Schizosaccharomyces pombe: one gene and its partners. The protein of the gene in region 3 purifies or fractionates together with the protein of the main gene of each other region. This does not show direct contact. Each region holds a gene or a part of one and is shown on either strand. Other genes may lie near its edges.

The links.
Region 1: the proteins of wdr74 (region 3) and ppp1 purify together in Schizosaccharomyces pombe (affinity purification with western blotting, with the first as the bait; one study listed by BioGRID). This does not show direct contact.
Region 2: the proteins of wdr74 (region 3) and rix7 purify together in Schizosaccharomyces pombe (affinity purification with western blotting, with the first as the bait; one study listed by BioGRID). This does not show direct contact.
Region 4: the proteins of wdr74 (region 3) and ytm1 purify together in Schizosaccharomyces pombe (affinity purification with western blotting, with the first as the bait; one study listed by BioGRID). This does not show direct contact.

What each region holds. Positions count from the first base shown.
Region 1 is NC_003423.3:3,710,871-3,715,268, forward strand, and holds ppp1 (pescadillo-family ribosome biogenesis protein), read right to left. Parts: upstream 2,788-4,398; 5' UTR 2,750-2,787; coding exon 2,728-2,749; intron 2,716-2,727; exon of another isoform or gene 2,690-2,715; coding exon 2,522-2,689; exon of another isoform or gene 2,368-2,521; coding exon 734-2,367; 3' UTR 549-733; downstream 1-548. Other genes in the region: hom3 (aspartate kinase), read left to right, coding at 1-332; nucleolar protein Dnt1, read right to left, coding at 4,330-4,398. UniProt on the Schizosaccharomyces pombe protein: Component of the NOP7 complex, which is required for maturation of the 25S and 5.8S ribosomal RNAs and formation of the 60S ribosome.
Region 2 is NC_003423.3:1,931,279-1,936,144, forward strand, and holds rix7 (AAA family ATPase Rix7), read right to left. Parts: upstream 3,225-4,866; 5' UTR 3,124-3,224; coding exon 2,809-3,123; exon of another isoform or gene 2,748-2,808; coding exon 2,582-2,747; exon of another isoform or gene 2,523-2,581; coding exon 2,094-2,522; exon of another isoform or gene 2,051-2,093; coding exon 621-2,050; 3' UTR 532-620; downstream 1-531. Other genes in the region: erp5 (COPII-coated vesicle-associated protein Erp5/Erp6), read right to left, coding at 1-46; HECT-type ubiquitin-protein ligase Pub3, read right to left, coding at 4,499-4,866.
Region 3 is NC_003423.3:1,534,822-1,539,125, reverse strand, and holds wdr74 (ribosome biogenesis protein wdr74), read right to left. Parts: upstream 2,304-4,304; 5' UTR 2,228-2,303; coding exon 2,188-2,227; exon of another isoform or gene 2,139-2,187; coding exon 2,020-2,138; exon of another isoform or gene 1,944-2,019; intron 1,860-1,943; coding exon 1,320-1,859; intron 1,259-1,319; coding exon 1,161-1,258; intron 1,039-1,160; coding exon 672-1,038; 3' UTR 559-671; downstream 1-558. Other genes in the region: SPOM_SPBC83.16C (uncharacterized protein), read left to right, coding at 1-325; DNA replication factor C complex subunit Rfc5, read left to right, coding at 3,071-3,265, 3,327-3,519, 3,662-4,304. UniProt on the Schizosaccharomyces pombe protein: Involved in the biogenesis of the 60S ribosomal subunit.
Region 4 is NC_003424.3:5,006,503-5,010,851, reverse strand, and holds ytm1 (ribosome biogenesis protein Ytm1), read left to right. Parts: upstream 1-1,973; 5' UTR 1,974-1,994; coding exon 1,995-2,145; exon of another isoform or gene 2,146-2,253; intron 2,254-2,426; exon of another isoform or gene 2,427-2,507; coding exon 2,508-3,679; 3' UTR 3,680-3,836; downstream 3,837-4,349. Other genes in the region: pxr1 (PINX1 family ribosome biogenesis protein), read right to left, coding at 191-1,045; serine/threonine protein kinase Ppk16, read right to left, coding at 3,881-4,349. UniProt on the Schizosaccharomyces pombe protein: Component of the NOP7 complex, which is required for maturation of the 25S and 5.8S ribosomal RNAs and formation of the 60S ribosome.

The DNA of each region.
Region 1 (4,398 bases), 2.2 Mb from region 3:
GTAATATGCATGAGGCATTCGTTGAATTGCGTCGATTGGGAACGCTTGATATTCTCCATGGTTTAGCTATTCTATCTCTTGTTGGTAAGCACATGAGAAACACTACCGGTTACGCTGGTCGTATGTTTTGCAAACTTGCTGAAGCCCAAATCAACATTGAGATGATTAGTCAAGGTGCTAGTGAAATCAACATTTCATGCGTTATTGACGAGAAAATGGCTGTAAAGGCTCTTAACGTTATTCATAAAGAATTGCTTGAACCCTTAGCTTTACATGAAGTTCCGTCACAGGCCTCGATGTTGGTTGAAAAGCCTTGGCTTTACAGTGCTTAAACGTACTGTAACCTTGAAAGTCAATTTAAAAAATAAAAAAAAAGTGTTGTCTTGCCTTCATTTTTTTGTTCTTTTTGTCTTTAAATATTTTACATTCTCTATTTTAAAATTACCGTGAGTTTTATTTTACTCATTATTATTATTTGTACGTTTATAAATAAATATTGACTACATAAAATTAATATTTTATAATATATCTCAAAAATTGATATTCATCTTCTTTATCTCCCAGTCGAAAAAATGTTAAGCAAAAGTGTATTTATTATATAAAAACGATCAGCTTCAATTAAATTGAACACGAACCTAATCCATGGATACAGTAAAATACAATGAACTCATTTTAAGAAACAAAAAGTAAATGACCCAAAATAATCTATTACTATGATTACTGTTTATTAAACCTAGTTTTCAACCTTTAATTTTTTCCTCTTTTCAATATCCCTCTTCCGATTGCGAAGCGCATTGTTGTAGTTTTCGTTTTTGCTATTTTCGTTTTTCAACTTACTGTAAAGCTTTCTCTGTTTATTACTCATCATCATTTTGGATAACTCCTTTGCCTCTTTTTCTTCTTTTTCTTCTGCAGTCAAAGTATCACGTTGACGCTTCTTAGTCTTTTTCGCGGACTTAGAATTCTGTTTAACATATTCAGAATAAGCGACACCGCCTGCTTCTGCCTCCAGCTCTCGTTGATGTTCTAAGTCTTCCTCTTCAGCGTCATCAATTTGTTCAACATTTTCAGGCTCGTCATTCTTCTTACTTATGGGCACTGCTTCGCCAGAAATATTATCATCAAGAGCTTCGGAAACATCGTCGTTCTCTTCAGCAGAAAGTTCAGCTTCAGGATCGTAGTCATTTTCACCTACTTTAACAAATGGACTAAGATGAGGAGGGAGCGTAGCGCCACAGGCATACAAGTCTGTCCTTTCCAAGATTCCTTTGTTGATAGAGTCGTATACCCATTGTGGTTGAATATATATCCTACCTTCGTACTTCTGTGAAATATGAGGACGATCACATATATGATGAGTAATCACAGGATCAGATTCTGAAAATGGAGAACCTGATCCGAGAATTGGATCCCATCCAACTTTACCACCAAAGGCACGAATCACAAATTCCAGAGAAAAACGGGGGACTTCACGAGAAAGGAAAAAAGTAAAATTAGAAAACAACGAGGTATTAGATGATGAAATATGTGATACTAGGCTTTTGGAATCCTCATTATCTGCACCATCAGCTGGTTTAAACTCATCTAAGTTTTCCTCCGTTTCAGGTTCCTCATCAGCATCCTCAGTAGTTTTTTCCGACTGCTCAACGACGTTCGCATCACTATTCACAATATCTCTTATTTTACTTTTTAAAGTAGCAATATTCTTACGAGCATTTTTGTTATTACCATGGACGATAGCGGGTAAGGAAGAAGACTCCTCTAACTCATAAGCTGCTAAACCAGCGGCAGATTCGCTTTTAGCAACATCAATCTTAGGGGGATAACGAAGTCCCAAGGTATTATATAACTTGAAATTTACAAACCCCATAAGTGCTTGATAAAATTCCAAAAAAGTGTGCATGATACGAAAATCAACATCGGTAGGAACAGATTGAGCAAATTTGTAGGGAACAATCCAGGTGATTTGCTCACCAAAAATCTCGGCCTGATAATAAATTCCTTTAATAGAGAGGAAAGCTTTACGAAGGGAATTTGACCGAATTACATAGTGTTGAAATTCAGCACATAATCTTTCACAATTAGCGACAGTAGCGGCACCAATCTTGTCGGTAACAGGCATAGTTGAAAATAAGAACAGCATACTAAGAGCATCATCAATATCTTTCAAGGCATCATGGAAGGTTGGGTAACGCTCTTTAATGATATGATCCAAAGAATAAGTGGGTTTTCTGGCCTCTAAACGTTTAGCAGTTTCTAATTCCCCTTTTCCCAATGCTTTGCTAAGCTTGCGAGCGAACACTTTGTACTCGCGAAACTTCTGTACAATAGGCTCATGTAACAAATACTGGATATCCTTAGTATAATCTATTATATTTATTAGTACATAATTTCATTCTTTTAGTTCATCAAAAAAAGACTAGCCCATGATAAAATTGACCATTCGGAAAATGCTTTTTATACCAAACGTCCATGTTCAGATAGCTATGATTCCGGTAAAAATTGATGCTATTAGACTTACAGAAAGTGACTGGAGCAGTGGAGCCTTTATTTGCTTTTTTCTTATTTTTTGGCTCACGAGGATAAACACCCTTTAAAATACAAATACGACGAAAATCAGCAAGAGTGAGCTGAAGCTTCTTAAGCGCTTGATTTCTCGTAATGTAGATACGAGCTGCACCTGCTTTCCCTGTTTTCAATTAGAAAATTTTTTTACAAGCTACATACCTTTCTGTTTTACCCTCGCCATTTCTTCAATTTGATGGCTTTTTGCAGAAAGAGGGTGTTGGAAGAATTTTGCAAAATCCAAAATCCTTCATACAGACTAGCTTAGCTCTCTGCACTGCGTAAATGGTGTTAGATGGTAGTATTATCTCACAGCGCTAAATTTTCTTATACTATTTTACGTTAAATTTCGCTATATTTGTGTTTTTCCGTACTTTTGAGATAAATCTTTGCGGCAAGGGACTAATTGATTTTTGATAAGTTTGTAAAGGTCTTGTAATTTAAAATAACTATCAAAACTTCTACAATTACTCCAAGTGAATCAATGTTCGACGATTTAGTTGTTAGCTACTCAAGTAAGTTATAATCTTAAGCAATACAGTAGTGATATATTAAAGTATTTATGTTTATTACATTTTACGGTAAATAAACAAATCTTCAGGTACGCAGCTAGGCATCTGTTTTAACGACAGGTAGAGTTGCGATGAGTCTTCCTTGTGATTTATTAAATTATATAGTACGCATATGATATATATAGCAATTTGTAATAGATATTCTTATATTCAGGTTACGTCGTTTTCTGTCACTAAAATATTATTATATGAGCCTCGCTCCTCAGTTCAGTTGTAGCTTCCATTTATCATTTTTATAATAATTTATATCAACGGTTTTTGTGTTAAATAGATAGACGGGTATACGCAGTTATTAATAATCTGATTTCACTTCAACTTATGGCATACAAAGTTACTCAACGTTGAATAACATAGCATAGTGTATCAGCGCTGAGATTTATGAGACCGTATGTATATGTTTGTGTAAAGGGAAAATTCACCCAATTTATCGTATTGCTAAAGCACTTTATAGTAAGAGTGTGATAAGTTTCTTTTCGATCATCTTACTTTTATAGAGCTATTATTTTACTACAAATAAATAAGTTCGTTCACTTTGCATAATATCAACTATACGCAGTTAGTTTGCCCGGATCAAGAAATTCATGTTTAGCTGGTCTTCGTTATAAACATACTAAAGAATAGAAAGATTTTACTAATATCAGTTTTTGTTAACACTATTGAACCATTATGAGTAATGTCGAGGGTAAAGTAATTACTATACAACAAATAATGGCATTTTTTGTGAATTTAGGTACTGCCTATAATAATATAAATACTAAAGCTCGTGAAAATATTTGAATATTGTAATCTAATTTGTTCTTTTTTTTTACGAATTTTAGTCCGGAAAATTTTACTAATATACTAATTACTGTCATTGTCTGGTCTCCTGTTTCCTACAACTAGCAGTTTTAATTTTACAATCAGTCATCAAAAAAGGATTTGAAATGAAGCAACTTAATGGACATTAAAGAACGTTCCATTTAGAATTTCAACATCTTTTTATCAGCATCAAAGTTAAATCAAGTTTTGCTAGCTAATTAACATGTAATTTTATTAATAAGTCAAAATTATGCAGAAAGCCAAGAAAACTAAATTTATTATATACGCAATATGATAGCACAACAACGCTATTACAGAATTCTTTTGCTATTGGACTTATGATGAAAAAAAAAAAAAAAACGAGCGTAAAGGGAGTTAATCAAAAACAAGAAATTTACACTAGGGCCGCCAAGCCAGCCAAAGCACTGTTTCTTTTGGCTTTCCTCTTTTTCTTTGTATTTAG
Region 2 (4,866 bases), 400 kb from region 3:
GGAAAAAAAAGGTAAAAAGTAATAAACCGAAAATTCCCAGCTTCATCGTCGTTTAAGGAAAGGTGATGGTTAAGGGTGTGTTTGGTTCTGCACACAGCACTGACTACTAGTTTGAAGAAACACTTACGCCAATCAAGCTCAAAGAGTTTTGTTTCAATTTAGTTATCCGTATAAAAATATTCTATTGACTTTATAATATTATTAATTCTATTACCTTAAAAGTGTTCTTTGTTATTGTTAAAGCAAATGTCGGGGTCAAAGTTCGACTTGCACAAGTATTGACACCTTACAAAGAAAATGAGTACATTATTCTTCCTAAACAAACTTTTTGTATAACCAGACAGATAAAAACTTATGCTATACAAAATTAATAGCTGTTGTTTAATCTACTTCTCGAAACAGAAAATGATAAACAAGAAAGTTTTATGAAATTTCCTATACTCCTAGATTCTTACTTATAAATTTACATTGTAGTTTATCAAATACCAAATGAAATATCCATTCATTATGCCACAGTAATCAATATAACCCAAAAACCCAAATATTATTTTTCCCTAACTTCCAAACTACATAGGTCCAATATAACTACAAACCCGAAATCCGTAAACAATAATTTCAATCTAGTCAGCATCATTTGTACTTGCCGAAGACCAACGCTTTGCCAGTCGTTGGTACTTTTGTCGATCGCGATCGGAGACACTTGGCTTGATATTCTTGAATGCTAACTCAAAGTCAGCATTTGTCACACGAATTGGCTCTAATGCTGAATGTTGTGTAATTTCTGGTTCATTTGAAGCAATATCTGCAAAAACGGCTGATCGCAGAGCTGTCACAGCTGCTTCACGCACAAGGGCAGCCAAATCTGCACCCGAAAAATTACTGCATCTTTCATCTCGACCAAGTACATCCAAATTTACCTCTTCGTGTAAGGGCGTCTGTTTTGTCAACGTTTTTAAAATCTCCACCCGTTCATGAGCATCCGGTAAATCAACAAGCAATGTTTTATCTAAACGACCAGGACGCAGCATTGCTGGATCTATAATATCCGGTCGATTGGTAGCAGCAATTACATAAACTCCTGAACGATCGCTAAGACCGTCCAGTTCAGTAAGAAGGGTATTTACAACTCTTGACGAGGCTTCTGACAGTGAGTCATCACGCCTGGGTACCATCGCATCTAATTCATCAAAAAAGATAACACATGGAGAAGATGCACGTGCTCTGAGGAAAACTTGTCGCACTGCACGTTCTGACTCACCAACATACTTATTAAGCAATTCTGGACCACGAATGGATATAAAATTTGCTTTACTTTCATTTGCAACCGCTTTAGCCAACAGAGTTTTACCACATCCAGGAGGACCCCATAGTAAAACGCCTGTAGGTGCACTGATACCAACGCTTTGGTAAAGCTCCGGACGTTTGATGGGCTGAACGATGGCCATTTGTAATTCGACACGAATTGATTTTAGTGCACCAATATTATTCCAAGAAACACCTGGAACGGTAGCAAATCCTTCACGTTTAGACGAAGGTTGAACTTTGGCGAGTGCTTCAATAAAATCTTGTGGACAAATAGCGAGTGGTTCAAGTTCCTCTGGAGATAGTGGATCAGGATGAGCATTCAAATATCTTTGAATTATAGAAGAATGATCAAGGGGTAAGCTGTCGTTTGAATCTAAGGCCATATCACTGTCAAGTTCATTAAATCTGGGATCAGAATTAAGGTCCAATTTGTTCAGCGGAGAAATTTCATTGAAAATCCTTTTTATTGCTATAATGCCGGCAGCAGCAGTGAGTGCTTTTAGGTCGGCACCCACATAACCAGGCGTCTGCTTCGCTAATTGACGGAAGTCAAAATCTCCACTAAGTTTCAAACCCTTTGCCATAGTACGTAAAATTTTCTCGCGAGCGTCTTGACTTGGGACGGTCAAGCATATTTCTCTGTCAAATCTTCCTGCACGGCGTAATGCACTATCTAACGAATCAGGTCTATTAGTAGCACCAATTACCAAGACAGGTTTGCCATCAGTTTTCTCAAAAGAAAGTTCTGAACTGTTAGTAAGCTAGAAAAAACGATATTAAATACATACCGTCCATGCATGTAAGGAATTGAGCGACAATCCTACGTTCCATTTCTCTTTGAGCACTTTCACGTTTGGGAGTAACGGCATCAATTTCATCTATAAACATCAAACAGGGGGCTAACGATTTAGCCTCTTCAAAGACCTCCCTAACTTTTTTTTCAGATTCGCCGGACATCCCAGAAACAATAGAGGGAGCAGATATAGAGATGAAGGGAACACCCAATTCGTTGGCTAATGCGTTGGCTAACATAGTTTTACCACAACCGGGAGGACCATGTAACAGTACACCCCTGGGAGGATGAATTCCAGTATATTGGTATACTTCAGGATGCTTGATCGGCATTGCGACTAGCTCAAGCAATTCGTTAATACAATCATCTAGTCCTCCTATATCACTCAAAGAAATGTCACTTGGTGGTTCTCTATTCGCTTCCGCTTTAAAAAAGTGTTAGTTTATATAAATCACTTTTCCACTAAAATAAATTCTAACAAACCTTTTTGACGCTTTGAACCATTAGTCTTGGATCGACGATCTTTTCTTTTGGCAGATCCAGTAATCGATTCCTGACCAACAGACTTTTTCTCATCTTCTCCATCTATTTCTTTCAAGTTTGGAGAGCTCCAAAGACTAGTGATGCTTTTGTTAATCACATTGGTATCCTGTAAATAATACTTAGTAAAAATGGTTTTCATAAAAATGCAAAAGAGCAGCAAAGCATACCTTAACTTCCATCAAGTTTGAGTCAGATTGTTCTTCCATGTCGCTATCAACAAGTACTAAATCCTGAGAGGAAGCTAATTTTTCCTCCACTTCGGCCTTCAATGTGTCTAAAACTTTTTCGACAACTTTTTCAAGGATTGGCTTCTTAATTCTTCGAAGAGACATGTCCCTTTCTTGAACAAATTGAATAGCCCGACGAGTAGAAACTGGCCACTCTTCAATTTCTGTTTGTTGAATGGTATCTTTCAAAGAAACCAAACGTTCATGAATTTTCCGCTCCAAATCACGACTAAGCGATGTACCAGACCTTCTCATTGTTTTTTCTTTTATATAATAAAAAAAAATCAACAAAATAAAAGGAATTATTAATCAATTCCTGCCTTTCCTATCAACCGAGCAGTATATGTGCTTTCGCCAATGTTTGCAGCCTTCTAGCTGAAGCTTAGTGCAAGGACGAACATATGAGTACTGGGAGTTTCTTATTGCAAATTTCAGTTGAAAGCATTGCATACCACATTTGTTCAGTGGATTTTTAGTAAGTTGTAAATCTTGCTGATAAATTTCTCAATTTCTCTTCAGCTGCCCCCACAATTATGCTTACTTACTCATTCCTACTTGAAATCACTTATATTAGAAATTGACTCTTTACTAGATGATTTACTCATTTTGTTGACCATCAATGCGTAAGAAAGATATATTTGATTAAGTTTTTACGTACTAGCTTAGTATCCCCATTCATATACTATTCATACCTAGTTTTTATACAATTTCAGAATTATGATAATTAAGAAAAACTCCACTTAAGGATATGCGTAAAGAAGCCCGAGAATCTGTCAATCCAGGAGTATGTCAGCAAACACTTCACATTTAGCTGTAGTAGATGATTGAAAATTATACCACATAAAAACGACATAACAATAAATAAAGAAAGATTAAAAGTTGCAGCAGAAAGGACACCTGAACGTAAAGTAATCATTGGCCAAAAAAAGTTTAAATGAAGAAACAGAATAAGCATATCATACCATTAACTTCCGAATGGATCTAAGGTAGCGAATGCATACTCAACCCAATACGTTTTGAATTCGTGTCGCCAATGCTAATAGCTATACAAATCCGATTTTAGCAGATCAACTAATTACAGCAAACGAACGAAATAAGCACCATGTCAAAAACCTCTGAACTGCTGGTTACAAAATATCACCATAAAGCTTCTCGACAAGGCTACAGATACGGGCAGCTAATTTTAAGATAAACCAGTGTTTAAGCAAACATCAACGCTTGACATTTCTTTAGTGAACAGTGGTTTCATGAACCGACGAAACAACGTCCATTCCACTCCCGTCAAAAACGTTTGCTGTCAATTTTTGGACGAACACTTATAACCTTTGGGTAACGAACGTTTATAGTGATGATAGCCAGATATTCTAACGGAAGCATTCGTTGCTTAAAAATTAGTTAGACAATGACTGGAGGCGCGATAAGACACATCGCGTTACTTCATGAGAAGCAAAAACCATCCATAGTTAAAGAAAAGGACACAATAAAAGGTGGTTATACATTGGGAAACCCCATAGCCGTTGATATTGATGAAAGCACATTAAAGCTATAGGTTTCTTACTTTAAAGAAAAAAATTTTTAATTCATACAATAGACTTCGTTGAGTGATTATGAAATTTCAAGATTGTTGTCATTACTCGTTTCCAAACCCTACCGTGTTTTCAACGGCTAGGCTCAATTTTTCATGCAGTGTATCTTTTGAAGGATAATCAGGTAAATCCAAGCGATTGAAACATGTGTGTGCTACTGGAAGTTGATCCGGTGTACCTGCCTTTTCAATAGTAAACTTGCGAGGTCCATCACTTCCTTGCAAATCCCTAAAACCATTGACAGGAATGCGTGATGTGCCTGTAGCGAACTGTAATAACTTTGAACGATCTTCGTTCTTCCAGCCAGCAATAATTTCCCAAAACCACTTGATAACAGGATCGGTAGCAATATAAGTGCGATACTCGGTGTGGCTCTTCCAGTCTTCAACATCAACATCGGATATACCACCAA
Region 3 (4,304 bases):
TCAAGACGACGATATTTGTCAGGCGTTGATTAAAGCTACTGTTTTACGTAACTTGGGTCGCACAGACGAAGTTTTCCCTATCCTTCAAAAAATATGCGCTGTTACTCGTACAACCGAGACATGGGCTGTTGCTTTTGCTCATTATGAAATGGCGGTAGCGTTTTTTGAGAGCAATGGTTCTAAAAAAGAAGGATTGAAGCATTGTGATGCTTATCTGAGAAAAGCTCGTGATTTTGGTGGAGACAACGAATTTGAAAGTAGATTGATTATTCGTGTGCAACTTGCAAGGCATGTTGTTCGAAAATGTCTTCAATCAATGTCATGAGTTCTCGTTCCTTGCGTAACAAATTGGTTTCAAACACTTGTTTTCTTCAAAAATCTTCTCTCGAAAAATGAATGCATCAAATTAGTTACTATATTTTAATGTTTTTAAATAGACGAATTATGACTGCAATTACAAGCTGTTGTTCTTAATCTTTCAACTTATTTGTGCTTCTCGTCTGCAGCTTTTGCCATTAATCCAATTTTCAATATATAATTTACAATACGACTGGAATTAAGTAATCTGTATATAATGTAATCCATAACAGTATTTATTAAGATCCCATATCTAACACAAAACTTTACCAATATATATATCCATAGTTTTACCCAACAAGACCAGTATTTCTTCAAAGTTTTATCCTCTTCGAAGGCTTTTTATCTTCTGTATCTTCTAACTGTTCCATGTTTCGCCAAATCTCTTCCTCTTCTTCTTTTGCCGCTTCTAATTCCTCTTCTTTCTTAATTATTTCGGCATCTCTTTCATTAATAACAATAATACTGGTAGGAAGAGCTTTAATATATGCATTTGCTAGCGGTTTTCTATCAGCATCAAAAATCCTGACGTTTCTATCTAAACCAGTAATAGCAACTACATTACCAAGGCAATGAATTGAAGAAGGGGCACCCTTTACTCCTTGAAATCTTCCGATGACTTTTTTCTTTGAATGGTCAAAAATTGAGATTTGAGCACGCTTATCAGCAAAGTAAAGTAACCTAAATTTGGTCAATATGAGTGCTAGAAAGAAAAGAGAAAAAAATCTTTAAATGGCTTTGGAAATATTCAATTTATTTATTACCATAATGCCTTTGATTTGCAAAAAATCGATAAAACATACTTGATTGAAGGAAGCAAACCAACATGACTTAATGGTGAAGTAGAGACATCAAATGTGGAAACCGGGCGGCGGCCGTGTTTCGTATCATAAAAGCGTAACTATTTGTTGTTAAATAAAGGTTCAATACTGTGAATAATCAAAATATTATCAACTGCTTACCTGACCATAATGAGTAATCGTAGCAAAATGGAAGCACAGACTTTCATCGTCTTCGGACTTTCCGTCAATAACATTAATAATATCTTCCGTGAACACAATTCCAGTGATCCACACGCGCACTCTAAGATTCAGGGAGTCATTTTTTACATTTTTTCCCTGGAAAACTTTTACCACGTTTTCTGTTCGCCAAAGTTCTAGTTCATCAATGTTCGATTTGCACGTAGGATTGCAAGAATACAAACAAACATCGTTTTCTTTTCCTCCAGCAGCGATTATTCCTGGTATTCTTGGATGTAACTCAACAGCGGACAGGGGGCCATGTAATTGAAGTTTTCGAAGCTTCGAAGATTCAATGTGTCTAAACAACAAATTTCCATCACTTAAAGCAAGCATTAGCCAACCATTAGAGTATTTCATGGAAACTATGGAAGCAGTCTCTAATAAAGAGCTGTCCAATTGCCAAAGACTAGACAAAATAGGTGGTTCTTGGTTAACGTTCCAACATTCAATAGTACCATTTTTCCGAGCGACAAATACATTCTAAAATTAACAAGTTAATCAGTGTTTTTCGAAATATAAACACAGGATATCCTAGTAACGCGCAATCCATTTGATAATAGTAACGAAGAAACAAGCGTCAATAAAGTTGCTTCTTTTTAGTTCATAATGCGTTATCACAGAAATCTCAAAAATTCCGTACCATTTCATGCTTCAACATAAAAAGCACTCCTTTTTCTCGATCTAACTCTCCAAATTTCTGAATAACTGGTGCTTCTGACTCGGGGTTTGAGGTGTCAGTACCTTTTTTTATTTCTATGACTATAATCACCTTTATTAGTACCGACGAACTTGTGAGTGGATTTCTTACATTTTAATTGCCCGATTTCATCACCAAGAAGCAATTTCATCTTGAAATACTACAACTTTTGTCGTATATCGCAAGAATCGATTTGGTTGTTGAAATGGGTAATGAGAAAAACTTTCACCACGAAGGTAGGAACGTGTCCTTTTAAAGGGCAAATTTTAAAACCATTTTAAAAAACCTTACAAGGTAAAATAAAAAAAAGAATGAATTGTCAATTTAATTTAGGAAATGTCATTTATTGAATGGATAATTTAGCTTATCGATAAAAAAAGGTTGTAAACGGACTAATCGCTCACATGTACTTGAATATAAGAAGAATTGTAATATATCATTTTCTATAGAATAAGTGCTCGTCAAAGGAAACTGAGTTTTGCAGCTGATTCATTTAATTGAAAGTTTACAACGTTAGCGTGTCAAGTTGCCTTATCAATGAATGGGATTTAAATAATTTCTTAAACAGTTATTTTTTTTATAGGAATAAAGCAAGGTGGAAAAACATAGTTTGGTCAGTAAGTATACGAGAAGAAGTTTGAACTATGTAACAGCTTCAAATGTTTATCGATAATGAAGTTAGAGCGCTCTACGAAATAGAATTGAATAAACAATAAAATTACCAAGTGTTGTAAAATACTTCCCACTCAAATACAATGTTCAGTAACTTCCATAATATGTGTAAACTAGCGAGAACGGAAGGTATCTTGAAGAGCTTATTTTAATGGGAAAAACAGTTCGGTTTGTTTAGAAGTTAAAAGTTTTATCATCTAACAATTTGGTGTAATACACTGACATGCACGTTGTATTTCTCCATTAAGTACATCCACTTGTCCTTTGCGTTACTGAAGGGTTTTACCAAAAACCGAGTTCCAACCTTTAAATCTTGGAATAAATGCTTTGGTTAGATCAATACCGTCCAAAGACGCTTGCATCTTTGGACTATCACAAACAACTCTCAGAACGTCTTATTTCCTTGTCGTCTACTAATGAGTTTCCCCATTTGTTAGTGTATGGGCCCAGCGGAGCAGGAAAAAAAACTCGGGTGGTTGCTATATTACGAGAATTGTATGGACCTGGCTCAGAGAAGGTATGTTTCTTCATAGTCTGACTTTCATTTAATTAAATATACATGCTCACAATGAATGTAGTTGAAAATCGATCAAAGAACTTTCTTGACTCCTAGTAGTAAAAAATTACAGATCAATATTGTATCAAGTCTTCATCATTTGGAAATTACGCCCAGCGATGTCGGAAATTACGACCGAGTCATTATGCAGGAGCTTTTAAAAGATGTGGCTCAATCTGCACAAGTTGACTTACAAGCTAAAAAGATATTTAAAGGTATGTCTTCACTGTAAAGTGAAATCAATATGGAATTTTTGTGCTCTTTTTTGTTCCTAGGTGTCTCATGTTATATTCTGGTTGGTGAACTTTCAATTCTTTTCCTTATTTTTATCTGCGCTCGTACTAACATGCTCCTTAGTCGTTGTAATCAATGTGGCTGACGAATTAACTAGAGACGCTCAAGCGGCTCTTCGTCGTACCATGGAAAAATATTCCAATAACATTCGTCTGATCTTAATTGCCAATTCTACGTCGAAAATTATTGAGCCTATTCGATCTCGTACGTTAATGGTTCGTGTTGCAGCCCCTACGCCAGAGGAAATTATCCTGGTAATGTCTAAAATCTTGACAGCCCAAGGCCTTGAAGCTCCGGATTCTCTGCTTAATAATATAGCGAATAATTGTGATCGGAATCTTAGAAAAGCCATCTTGCTCTTAGAGACCGTTCATGCAAAATCTCCAGGCAACAAGCAACTAATCGATACTGGTGCGCAACTCCCTTTGCCTGATTGGCAAACATTTATCCAGCAGGTCGGTGATTCCATGCTTCAAGAACAAAGCCCTGCACGTATCCTGGCTGTTCGCTCAATGCTGTATGATCTTCTTTCTCACTGCATTCCCCCTACCACAATTTTGAAGGAACTTCTGTCTTTTTTTCTTTCAAAAGTGGACACTAAATTGCATCCATACTTAATTCAAGCTGCAGCGAATTATGAACATAGGACTCGGATGGGCAACAAATCAATTTTTCACCTAGAGGCTTTTGTTGCATATTTTATGAA
Region 4 (4,349 bases), on a different chromosome or scaffold from region 3:
ATAAGTAGCTTTTCGAAATTACAAGCCCGAATCCAGCAATTTCTTCCAAAATCAACTAAATATTACCTTCTATTAAGACATAGATTAAAAAACCGACAAACCCTTCCTCTTAAAGTATTGTATACCCATAACTTCTAAGACTCGTTTATTATATTCCGCAAGTTAGAAAAATAGCAAAAGAAGTCACTTCCTAACCTTTAATACCTAAAATCTCCCTTAAAGCAACTGGGTCGCTTACTGCTGCTCGCTTTTGTGCCAAAAATTTTCTTCTGGTATGGAAATGAATGCTAGCGGGTCGGTTGCCTTCTTTGACCTTCTCGACAGAGGAAGTGGACTCTGGTTTATCCTTTAATTTTATTTTCTTTTTCTTTTTCTCTTCTTTGTCGCTTGAGCCTGATTTTCTCTTTTTTGAAGAACTTTCCTTATCCTTTTTCTTGTGCTCTTTTTTCTTCTTCTTCGTTATTTTTTCCAACTTTTTAGGATCAAGAGCCGAACCAGTAGAGGTCTTTTTCTTACTTTTCTTCTTAGAAGAGTGCTTCTTTCTTTTTTCACGCTTAGCTTCATCGGATGAAGACGCATCTTCACATACACGATCCTCATCCTCCTCTGCTTTTTGCATCCATTCAGAAAATTCACTAGTAAACGTCCCACCCAAAACAAATCGTCTGGATAGCTCAAGTGATTTTAAACCCTTCTCATTCGCACTCTGTCTCTCGTATGTTAGTTGCTGCACCTTTGCTTTCTCAGCATAGACACCATACGCAGACTCATCGCCGTTAAGTCGACCAAAAATAGCGTTGAATTCACCTAAACCGCTCCATTCAAGATCGTTAGTTGCTTTGGCTCCAATTCCCAGTGTATCATCTTTTAGGCTGACCTTGATGTTATGAATGCGACCATGTTGCTTTTCACCCAAGCCATTACCATTCACCCAACCGTAGGAGGATAAAAGCTTAAATCCCAATCTATTTGTATCTTTTGCCCATTTAGAATTCCGAGGATCCACACCAATCTGTTGTTTCTTTTTTACACCAGCCAAACCCATGATGTCCTGTTAATCTTCAATAAAATTTTTTTTTTATCGACGATCAATATGTGAGAGGACAAAAAAGAATGAGAATAAATTATAAGAAGTAATCAATTGTAAGAAATAATTAAAATTGCGAACAGCGCAAAGTAATATACATAAAAATATGTAGCAGCCTGAGTCCTAAAATCCCACCAAATCCTAGAACCGATGAATTCTTTCCCAAAATAAAACCTTTTTCGAGGATAGAATCAATTGAGTCTCCTCTTCTTTTATAAAAATATAAACACACGATAAATCAACGATCTAAACAAAGTCTTCTCGCTAATTGAGAAACTCTCCAAAATTTCTCGAGTATTGCACTCAAATTGGTGAAAAAGGATAAATTGATAGATCTTTATTAAGTTTTAAAAAAGAAAAGTACTGGTTCTTGGAATTTCTTGAAAAGTGGTGGGCTCAAGAAGGGAATATATGCAGTTGGTAAACCGGCTATGTGTTAAAAGCGCTATAGATGCTTTCAAAGGCATAATTGAAATCTTCTTTCAAATAACGTGAAAGCATTCCAAAAAATTACAATGTTATAATGAGCTGTAAATAATACCGGTCAAATCATCATTTAAGTCGTTTTAAAAGAAGTATTTCAAAAGACGTTAAATCTTACAATTCGAGCATACTCTGGAAAAAAATAAGCTTTAAAAAAGTTTATCCTTTTACTTTTAAAGCATACTTTAAATCTTCTAATATTATTTTTGTTATTCTTAGATTTTGTTCAACTGTTACTTTTCTACTCAAAAAAAAAAGCTGAATTAGGACCGCTATCGATGAATACGAATTGGGTTGATTAAACTTGAAAATTCTTAAAAAACAGTCTCGTAACATCTTGATCAATTCAGCCAAAAGTCATTATCCTCATTTTTTTGGTACTGGAAATTTTGATCTTTTCGACACTCCTTCCACCAACAACAGAATGGATGCCCAAAGCGCTCCTTCAGGCCAAGTTCAAGTCCGTTTTACTACTAGAAATGAGGATTTAGCTGTTGGTGACACGCCGATTTTTGTTCCTACATCTTTAAAGCGGTACGGCTTATCTCAAATTGTAAATCATCTTCTAAAAACAGGTATGTTTTCAGTTAACACATACTGGGTCAAAGCAGGAGAAAAGTCGCATAATTCAACCAACTTGAAGAAAATTTGAAGCAATAGAATAGCTGGTCTCATGCAAGGCCCAATTACTATAAAACTGTGTAGAAGCTGAAATTTGTTGGCGAGAATCAAATGGGGGCTTCTCGAATCTAAGAGTTACTCTAGTGTTCTTTTTCACGCCTTTCTTAAAATTTTGTAAAATTCTTGAAGATGCATTACTAAAAGCCCTTTTTTTATTTTTTTGTCTCTTTTACCTTTCATCCTCGTTTTGCTTCATTGCTATACAATTTTGCGATTTTTTAGTTAATTTAATTTATTTCCTTACTAACTTTACTAGAAAAGCCAACACCCTTTGATTTTTTGGTTCAGGGTCAGCTGTTAAAAACTACTCTCGATGAGTACATAGTTCAAAACGGATTGTCTACGGAGTCGATTCTTGATATTGAATATATCCAATCTACATTACCACCTGCATATTTAGCTTCTTTCTCTCATGACGATTGGATTTCTGGTATTCAACTAACCTCAGATACCATTCTTACTTCTTCATACGATGGGATAGCTCGTGTTTGGGATAAAAGTGGTGAAATAAAATTTCAATCAACTGGATGTGGATCATCTTTAAAAAGTGCATCCTGGCATATACCTAATCAAAGTTTTCTCACTGCTTCACTTGATCAAAAAATTTTTCATTGGGTGATCGAAGAGCCAGAATCAATGTTGGATGCTGAAAAGAAAAGCTCCGGTATCCTTCAAACTCTTTTCGTAGGGCACAAGGATATAGTTGAGCGCGTACGATCCTTAGAATCTTCAAGCGTTTTTATTTCTGCTTCTGCGGATAATACTGTCGGAATTTGGGATTTTGAAAGGTCTCCTGAGACTACCCTCGAGTCCTTTTCCTCGTCTATATCTAAAAAGAGACGTCGCAAAAATGCAGAATTCACACCTCAAGCTGGGGCTCGCTCTCCGCTGATCCTTTGTGAGGGGCATACTGGACCGGTGATGGATATCGTCTTTTCTGATGATCCAAGTGTTGCATATTCCGTAGGCCAAGATCACACAATTAAGACTTGGGATCTCATTACTGGGCAAAATGTTGATTCCAAGATAACCAAAGCTCCTCTTTTATGCGTGGAAAAACTTACTGACCTACACTTAGTCATTTGTGGTTCCTCTGCGCGACACATTGTTGTTCACGACCCTCGAGCGGGAAGCGACAAAATTGTGAGTCATACTTTATCCGGCCACAAGAATTTAGTTTCCGGATTATCGGCAAGCCCAGAAAATCCCTATATGTTTGCATCCGTCTCTCACGATAACACTTGTCGTGTTTGGGATGTCCGTGCTACATCCGGCAGTATTTACACAATTTCTAGAGCAGAAAAAACAGGCTCTCAGTGGGATAAACTTTTCGCTGTTGATTGGAATAAATCCATTGGTATTGTTACGGGAGGTACTGACAAACAACTTCAAATCAATCAATCCTCATCCTTTGGAAAAAGCGAATGAAAAAAGATGTAGCATAAAAAAAATTGACAGATTATGATTTAGTGTGGTACAAGCGGGATAAGTTAAGGAACAAGGTCATTACTACTAGAGATTAAAAGTTTGATTAAATTATTTAAGAGAACACTTTATTAAAGCAAAATAAGTTAATAATTCAAATTATACACACCACGTAGCTTAGTAATCGTGTAATAAACTTAAGCTTCAGAGCAAGTCTGTGAAATGTTTTGAAGAGTCTGAAAAACTGGTTTCTTCCGGCTCCTCTTCCTCTTTGACTGAGCTTTGATTAAACATCAGAGAGGAAGATGATTGCGGGTTTTTTCTACCAGAACCAACTGTAAAAATTGCAGTAGCATTTATACGAGTGTTAAATGGCTCTCCGGAAGGAAAATGGAAACTTTTGTGCAATCGTTCAAAAGGAGAATGAAAAGGTGTTTGCCTTTGAACGGTCGAACTGGAAGGTTTAGATGAAATAATAGAAATTAAAGAATTTGAAGATGCAGAAGAGACGTTTGAATAGGATCTAGTACGGGATGAATTCCTCGAAGAAGCAACGGAAGAACGCCCAGACAAGCTGCGTATGGGAGTTCGTGATCGTCGAGTCGGCTGGGGAGATATGACAGTATTTTGCAGAGGAGAAGGTGGAATATCAATATTAATTGAGAGGTTCGAA